Linked DNA regions of Oryctolagus cuniculus. The protein of the gene in region 2 binds, or shares a complex with, the protein of the main gene of each other region. Links are inferred from orthologs where the notes say so. Each region holds a gene or a part of one and is shown on either strand. Other genes may lie near its edges.

Region 1 (3,647 bases), on a different chromosome or scaffold from region 2:
CCAGCCCTGGACTTACATCAAGGTGTGGGACTGGAGCAAGCTCTCAGGTCGGCCCAGAGGAGACTTGGGGCTCTGCAGTCCATGGATTGAATTCCACAGATGAATCTTCCTGTGGAGTTTAAGCTGCTTTTTAAGTTCCTTGACTTCTGCTTTACGCTGTTTCTTCTCAGCTCGCAACCTCTGCTTTTCTGCTTTAAGAAAGTTCTTATCAACCTGTTTCTGAAGCCTGTAAGATAGAAGTCAAAGTCTTAAAAAACAAAGAGCCCTCACAAATCTTGAAGCCATTTGGAGCCAACTACAGTCGCCATTGAAGTCAGCTTCTATTTTAGTTTCCTCATTTCTTTTACAGTTCTCCTTTCCATTTCATTACCTTTGGATAATTATCTTCTTATTGTACATCAATGAAGATGGGCAGAACTGAGAAGACTGCCTACAGTGCTGTGACACTACACATTACACCAGTGGTTTACGTTCCCAGGACCAAGAAGCCAATTAGCATCTCATTTTACCTCACTTGTTCCAGGGCGGCTGGGAGACGAGGAGAATACTTTGAGTGGGAGAATGGTTCAGAGGAACTCACAATAGGTCTCCTCAACTTGAGCAGAACGTGGTTAGTGTCATGGGCATATGATCCTGCTTCACAGTCTTCACAGATGTTATAGGATGGGCAGAGGCTGTAGGGAAAGAATGGCAGTACAGAATTGCAGAATAGGAAACACTTGAGGAGGGGAGATATCGGACCAGACTTCTATGTCCTATATCCATTTCCAAGGACAATCTTTGGAAAGAATAAAATATGGAAGCATTTGGAACAAATGGTCTAATTTTGTTCTGAGGAGTACGATGTTTTACTCAGTTCTGTTAATACAAATGTGTATCTGAACACAAAAATCTGAGTAGTTACCCCTTAAATCACACAGTGGCCTGTGGTTCCAATTCGGAGCTACTATACCTAATGCTCAGAGACACAGTATACCTACAATTTCCCTCCAGCTACCCAGAATGCCAGGAAGTCACTGCTCTAAGGTCTGCCAATAGCTATCCCACCCCAAGTGACTGCTTACCTACACTGGTAGCGCACACCAATGATCCTTCTTTGGCAACTGCTGCAAGCAATATGCCAGCTGAACTGGTTTTCTGGCAAAAACACTGTTTCCTCTGAAACAGGCATTGAGACTTCTGAGGAACAGGAAGCCAAGGATGGGTTCTGGAGGACAAGTTTCTCATGTAATCTCTGTTCAAGCTTCTCGACTGTTTCTTTAACGACCTGTTCTCTGAACTAGAATGCAGAGCAGAAAGTGGGGGCAAACTCAGTTCCAATGTTGGGAAAAGATGTAGGATACCAACAGATCTGAAACCTCACCATCTCTGGTATAACATTAAGAACACAATCAACAACTAATGGCCACTGAATGAATACACAGAAAGGTAGCAAGCAGCTCCTTCTCCAGGTGAACTGATTCCGAGAAGAGACCAAGAAGTCCTTCTGATGAGCAAATCCTACATCTCAAGCCTGGAGATCTCTCTCTCTCCCTGACATGCTTAGAACCCAAATCCCTCTTTTCCTGGTGCCTCATCACAAAGGTTAGGGCTTTCTTGAACCACTCTAAGTTTGGAAGTGAATAGCGGCCACTCTTCATTTTATAAGCAACAGGCAGCAACCACCTGGATTTGGTTATTTGTTTCACATTCCACCTGTGCCAACAGTGCTGCTAAAACCCCAACCAGAGAGAACACTCACGGTCTCCAGGTAGCTTGTGAACCAGTCTGGGGGCTTGTCTTGAGGCTGGTCTGTGTCACATGGAGCAAGTGGAAACAACTGCAAGAAAACGCAATCAAGATCTTGTAGATTCTTTTTTCCATTTAGTATAACTGTCCTGAAGTATATTATTTTTAGGTTTCCTTCATCAAGTTATACAAACATATGGTTAAAAAAGGGTCACAGAATGAACGAATATAAAAACAAAACATAGTTTCTGTCCTACCTGGCTCCCTGTTCTCCAGAATTAAGCCTCTGTTATCAGACTCAAAGTCAGAGACTGGGATAGTCATAATAACTACTAAATCTTTGATGAATATGCAAATCTTAGATCAAAGACAATGAGACATAACATTAGAAAATTGGATGGAGGCCAGTGCCGCAGCTCACTAGGCTAATCCTCCCTCCGCCTGTGGCGCTGGCACCCTGGGTTCTAGTCCCGGTTGCTCCTCTTCCAGTCCAGCTCTCTGTTGTGGCCTGGGAAGGCAGTGGGAAGGATGGCCCAGGTTCTTGGGCCCTGCACCCGCACGGGAGACCAGGAGGAAGCACCTGGCTCCTGGCTTCAGATTGGCGCAGCGCGCCGGCCGTAGCAGCCATTTGGGGGGTGAACCAACAGAAGGAAGACCTTTCTCTCTCTCTCTCTCTCCCACTATCTAACTCTGCCTGTCAAAAAATAAAAAAAAAATTAAAGAAAAAAAAAAAAGAAAAGAAAATTGGATGGAGAAGTCTATCCATTCATACCTGTGCTGCAGGAGCCTCTGAGTTCTTTGTGTCTGATCCCAAGACTCTCACTAGTGAAGAACAATGTGCAGGTGGCTTCTTCCCCATTCGGGCAGCTCGTTTTTCCGCCACTGGAAGAGGGGCTTCCTCAACAACATGGTGCCCTTCATGGACTCGCATCTGCAGCTGATTTCCCTGCTTGACTGCCATCTGAGAGTGCGTTAGGAAACAAAAACGTACTTGATGATTCTTTTTTTCCAAATATAATTTCAAAGACGCCTAACAGAAGAGTGGTAAATTACGCTGGAAAACATCATGATTTGTATTTGCTTTATTATATCAAACCAAACATCACACACAACATGAACACCCAGTCTGCTGGGTTTTTTTTGGAAAAAAAAAATTTGAACTAGAAATGGTTTTATTATTAAAACACAAAAATAGGTAATTAGCACAGAAAATTTACTAGGTGACATGTTTGCATTAACTGGGTTACTACTTTCCTGTTTAATACATTTTTATATCAGATTCCATCCATGGACTTCCATCTCAATGGTCTAAAAGTCAATCCCAGACCATTAGAACTGGAGAAACTAAAAAGCAACCTTAAACGCTCAAGTTTTTTTTTTTTTTTTTTTTTTTTGAATAGTATCTTCCTAATTCAAAAACTATACTTCAAGGAGAATTTGGGATTCTAAGAAGGTACTCCAGTGCCCAAGACTAATGGCCAACCCTATGGGGTTTCTAGCTCCCTTCATCAACTCACTGTTATTCACAACTGTTCTTTTATCTGTTTTATGCATTACACTTCTTAAGATTCCATTTAAAAATAGAATTCCATTTAAGGATAATATAGGACATGTTAAATAGCTTGGCTGTAATAATCATTTCACGATGTACATATATATCAAAACATTGTATCCCTTAAGCATAAACAATTTAAATAAGGAACTCTTCTCATAAGGCATTTCATGGACAAAAAGTATAAAAGCTATTATTCTAGATCAATTTTTTTCTTAAAGGAGCCACTTAGTAAGTATTTTAGCTTGCAAACCATTTCCCTTTTGTAATTTTGCCACTGTAGCACCGAAAGCCATTAATTAAAGTATGGTCATGGTTGTGTTCCAAAAAATGTCATAAAAACAGAAAGCCAGTCCACTGATTACAT
Region 2 (4,423 bases):
TAAACCCTAACTGGTGGAGCCCTGGCATCCCAGGGGTGGTCTGAATGGCTTACTAGTTATCAGAAAGTAAGACATCCAACTCCAAACTGTAAGCACAGAAAGAACAAGAAGGATAAGCTGAAATATCCTGGGGGGCAGGGGGATGCACAGAAAGGGCTGAAAAGGGAAGCGCTGTTTTGAGAAAATACAGGAGAATGCTAACTAGGAGCAGGTGCATCTATATAAAGCTACCTGAACCTAGGCTCCCAGTCATTCTGCTTACTGCGTGCCCTGTCTGGCACCAGACTACCCTATGAATTCTTGAGGGTAGCAACAGTACATTTCCACTACTCAGCAGTGTGAGGTGCACAATGCCAGAACTGTATTAGAAATTAAACCAAACAGCACGGGAGGTTAAGGGCCAGAGTTGGAATCCAGGCTGTGCCATAGACTCGCAAGGTCAAGTCTTTAGGGAGTGACTTCATCTCTCTATGGTTCCAGTCTTCATCTATAGAGTGAGGATTGCAATGTGAGGATTAAGTGAATGACATTAGAGCCCTGAGAACGCGGCCTGCTGTGTGTAAGTCAGCAGTGAAAGCTAGCTGCCGTTTTTAAACCTCATTCCTCCAGAATCGCTAGATCTGGGAGAAACATTTACAACAAGCACCCTAGGTCCAGGAAGAGGCAGGTTCACACAGGGCGCTGGGTAACGATTAGCTCCCCTTTGTAGCCCAAAGCCACTGTGTACAAAATAGCTGAGGAATGGCAGGGCCAGAGAGTTTCCATTGCGGGGCTAGAGCCCAGATTGCTTCTGGCTGCAGTAAGAACATGAGAGTTACGGAAGAATTGGAGAATTCCCAAATAGTCCGTGTGAGTCAGGAGAGGCCACATCACATAATGGCAACTCTTGACATCTTATCCCACTTATCCTTATCCCACCGTCCCTGTCTGAAGATGGAAATAATCACAAACTCTGCGCCCCCATCTCCAAACACCCAAGGGCTGCAGCCCCTGGCCCGCGCACCCAAGTCATCCTGGGCTACGCAGCCTGCATTAGACAAGAGCCGGGCAAGTGGGCGGGGGAGGGGGCAACGGGAAAAACGCCCGGATGCTGAGAGATGGCTTCATGTTTCTTCCTCCTCGCTCCTGGCACCAGCTTTAGCGACGTGAGCCAGTGTCCAAATCCGAAAGAAAAAGTCCTCAGTCCCGCCTTATGGTGTCAGGCCCCATCGGATCACAATCAGCTCCAAGGGCAGGCCGGCCGCTCCCCGCCCCCCACGGGCCCCCGGGGCCGGGAACGCTGAGGCAGGCGGCTGTTGCGCAGAGAACGTGACCTTGCTTTCTGGGCCAGGCCCGTCTCGTGGCGTCCCCAGCCCTCCCCTCCCTAATTCTAAGAGAAATCAAGAAAGAACCTCCCAGGCCCAGAGCTCAGGAGGGCCAAAGCCAACTTGGGTAATTAAAGGCGAAGCATCCTCAGAGGCAAACCCCAAGGCATCAGTGGCTCCCATCACAATTCCGCTGCGTGCTTAACAGCGGCACGTCCACGGCCCGCATCCACACGCCCACACCGCGGGCAGACAAGCCCCACCGCGGGCCCACCTGCACCTGCACCTGCACCTGCACCTGCTCGAGCCCTCCATACTGCTGAGTCACCGCAGACAGGGGCTCTGCCGCCAGGAACCAGCGGCCTCCGCTAGGGCCGCGAGCCCCCCCCATCCCACCCCAGATCCGCAGGCCGAACGGCCCCGGGCGGGCGAGGCTCGCGGAGCCCCCTCTGCGCCGCAGGGCTGCCAGCCCGCCGCCCCGCACCCACGGGCCCCGACCCCCTCCATCCTCCCCGCCCCCACGACACTCACAGGGACCCTGTCCGGATACTTCTTCCGGATCTTTTCTCCTTCCTTTTTCCGATACTCAAAGGGATGGTCCTCCTTATACTGGAACTTCATGATGCACCGCAGGTTTTCCGAGACGCCCGGACGGGGCCTGCCTCCCTCGCGGACGATTGCGTCTCTCGCGCTTCGCTGCCCTCCGCCAACTTCTGGGGGTACCAGGATCGCTTCGGAAGCGTCCGCGCCCTCTGCCACGCCGCCTGGCCCAGCGCTCAGGACGGGCACCTCGGGGCCCCGGCCTGCAGGTGGGAAGCGGCCAGGTGAAGAGACCCGGGCGGCTGTGCCCAAGCGCAGGGAACACAAAAACACCCCAGCGGCGCGCAGGGGTTGTGACGTCACGAAGCCGCGCCCAGGCCCTCAGGCCCCGCCCCCGGCCCCGCCCCCGGCGCTCCGGACTCGGCGGAACCGAGGTGAACAGAAACCTTGTTTGTTTTTATTTATTTTGACCCTGCCTGATTTTTTTTTCCCGAGTGGAGCCCACTGCAAACCTGAAAGCGTTATACTTGGTATTCTACTGCGATTTGATATGAAAAACGGTTTTTAGTTAAGACAACGGGCTAAAGATGTCTCCATCCCCCTCCTTGGCGTCTCTTGGTTGGGACCCAAAACAAATACAAAGGGCTGCCCTCCAGCCTGGTCCCCCCTGCCTGGGACCGGGAGCCTGCGTGGGCCGGGGTCCCGCGCCTCCTGGGATGCCTTTTGCCCCTGCGGAAGGGGCGCGGAGTTGCGTTTTGCCCTCTGCGGGCTCCGCAGCCTTCCCGCTCCGCGTCGTCGGCGTCGTCCTGTTTTGGTCCCCGCCGCAGTCCGTCCTCAGAATGGCAGCGTCGGTCAGCAGGGCGTGACTCGGGCCCCAGTGCGGGGAGGTGGTGTTGGTGAGGGCTCCGAGGACTTCACGCTCGCGAACGGCTCGCTTTCCCCTGGGACCCCGGGAGCTGGGCCTCGTGGAGCCGTGGAGGCCCCTCACTCGGTGGAGCTCAGATGTTTGGGTTGTTGTTGTTTTTCTTTAATTCTGCAAAACCGCACGTGGAAAATAGATGCGCGGGGTACAATCGGCCCGGCGCGTGAACGGAAGGCACTGCCTCAGGTACCGGGTGCCATGAGGCATCTCTTGCCTCACGACCTCGGGACCCAAGACCTGCCCAGCCCTGCTCTGGCCGGGGATCCCTGGAGTCTGTAGGGAGAGGGCGGCAGAGATCGCAAAGAAGAGAGGGGAAGGGTTCCCTTGTGTTCCAGTCTGTGAGTTCTGAAAACTATTAGACAAGGGCTATCAGCGTCGCCTTCAAAAATCCCACAAAATGAAACTTTCATTATCGAAACAAGAAAACGAATTTCATAGTCCCGTTGGTCCCGTTGGTCTTGTTAATTCCTTTTTCCCATGGCATTTGTCAACTTTTTTTTAAAGATTTATTCAAAAAGCAAAGTGACAGAGGGAGAGAGAAAGAGCTTCTGCCTGCTGGTTCACTCCCAAATGGCCACACCAGCCCCGTCTGGGCCAAACCAAAGTCTGGAGCCAATAATTCCATCCAGGGGCCAGCGCTGTTGCGCAGCGGGTTAACACCCTGCCCCACAGTGCGCCAGCATCCCATATGGCCGCAGGTTTAAGACCCGGCTGTGGCACTTCCAATCCAGCTCTCTGCTAAGGCCTGGGAAAGTAGTAGAAGATGGTCCAAGTCCTTGGGCCCCTACACCCATGTGGGAGACCCGGAGGAAACTCCTGGCTCCTGGCTTGGGATCGGCACAGCTCCGGCCGTTGTAACCAATTAGGGAGTGAACCAGTGCATGGAAGACCTCTCTCACTCTCTGCTTCTCCGCTCTCTGATTCCATCCAGGTCTCCCTCTTGGATGACAGAGGCCCAAGAACTTGGGCAGGAAACGGGAAGGAAAGCAGAGCAGCCAGGACTCAAACCACTGCTCTGTTGGAGGGTGCCGGTATGGCAAGCTGCAGCTTAATAAGCCTCTGCCACAGTGGTAGCCTCTGTTCTTTTGTTAATATATGAAAATCCTCATATCATTTTATCACATTGTATATAATTTCCAGCCCTTATTTTCAAGTTGCAATTAGTTTAATTGCCACTCATTCATTTTAGCTTTGACTCAAACCTAGGTAAATCTTTTAGAGGACTGCTTTACATCCAGTTGAGAAAGGTAATTATGGTGGCAATTAAAATGCTAAGAGTGTTGTTGGGAACAATCGTAGCTAGTTGAAATGCTGATTTTAACCTTTATTTTAAAAATATCCAAGCACAAAGGCAACTTATACAATATGTAAAAACTAATTTGGAGATGAAATTTTGGTTAATCTTTCTGCCACAACTTTTCTAAAGGCCAATGCCTTATCTTAGAATACACAATCTGTCAGTTTCCAAAGTGTGTTCCTTACCTTTATTCTCAGCATGACATTTAAAATGTTATACGGAAGCTAATTTATAAATTAACACATTTAATAAAAACATTTCAGATTCCTCTTTTAACCAGAGAAAATGCCACTTTAAAAACTCACATTTGGGATGGGAGTTTTGGCACAGCTGGTTAAGCCACCACTTGGGATGCCTGTG

The links. The genes of interacting proteins can lie anywhere in the genome.
Region 1: the proteins of GABARAPL1 (region 2) and NBR1 are in contact, whole or in part, in an NMR structure (PDB 2L8J), measured with the Homo sapiens proteins. The link is inferred for Oryctolagus cuniculus from reciprocal best matches to the Homo sapiens genes GABARAPL1 and NBR1. Residues at the interface, in NP_113600.1 of Homo sapiens: Glu12, Tyr13, Lys16, Glu17, Lys20, Ile21, Lys24, Tyr25, Arg28, Pro30, Lys48, Tyr49, Leu50, Val51, Pro52, Phe104; in NP_005890.2 of Homo sapiens: Ser729, Glu730, Asp731, Tyr732, Ile733, Ile734, Ile735, Leu736.

Annotation. Positions count from the first base shown.
Region 1 is NC_091448.1:19,820,357-19,824,003, forward strand, and holds part of NBR1 (next to BRCA1 gene 1 protein), read right to left. Parts: intron 2,690-3,647; coding exon 2,501-2,689; intron 1,820-2,500; coding exon 1,742-1,819; intron 1,280-1,741; coding exon 1,065-1,279; intron 675-1,064; coding exon 510-674; intron 227-509; coding exon 17-226; intron 1-16. UniProt on the Homo sapiens protein: Ubiquitin-binding autophagy adapter that participates in different processes including host defense or intracellular homeostasis.
Region 2 is NC_091440.1:106,915,006-106,919,428, reverse strand, and holds the start of GABARAPL1 (gamma-aminobutyric acid receptor-associated protein-like 1), read right to left. Parts: upstream 2,871-4,423; 5' UTR 1,926-2,870; coding exon 1,836-1,925; intron 1-1,835. UniProt on the Homo sapiens protein: Ubiquitin-like modifier that increases cell-surface expression of kappa-type opioid receptor through facilitating anterograde intracellular trafficking of the receptor. Involved in formation of autophagosomal vacuoles.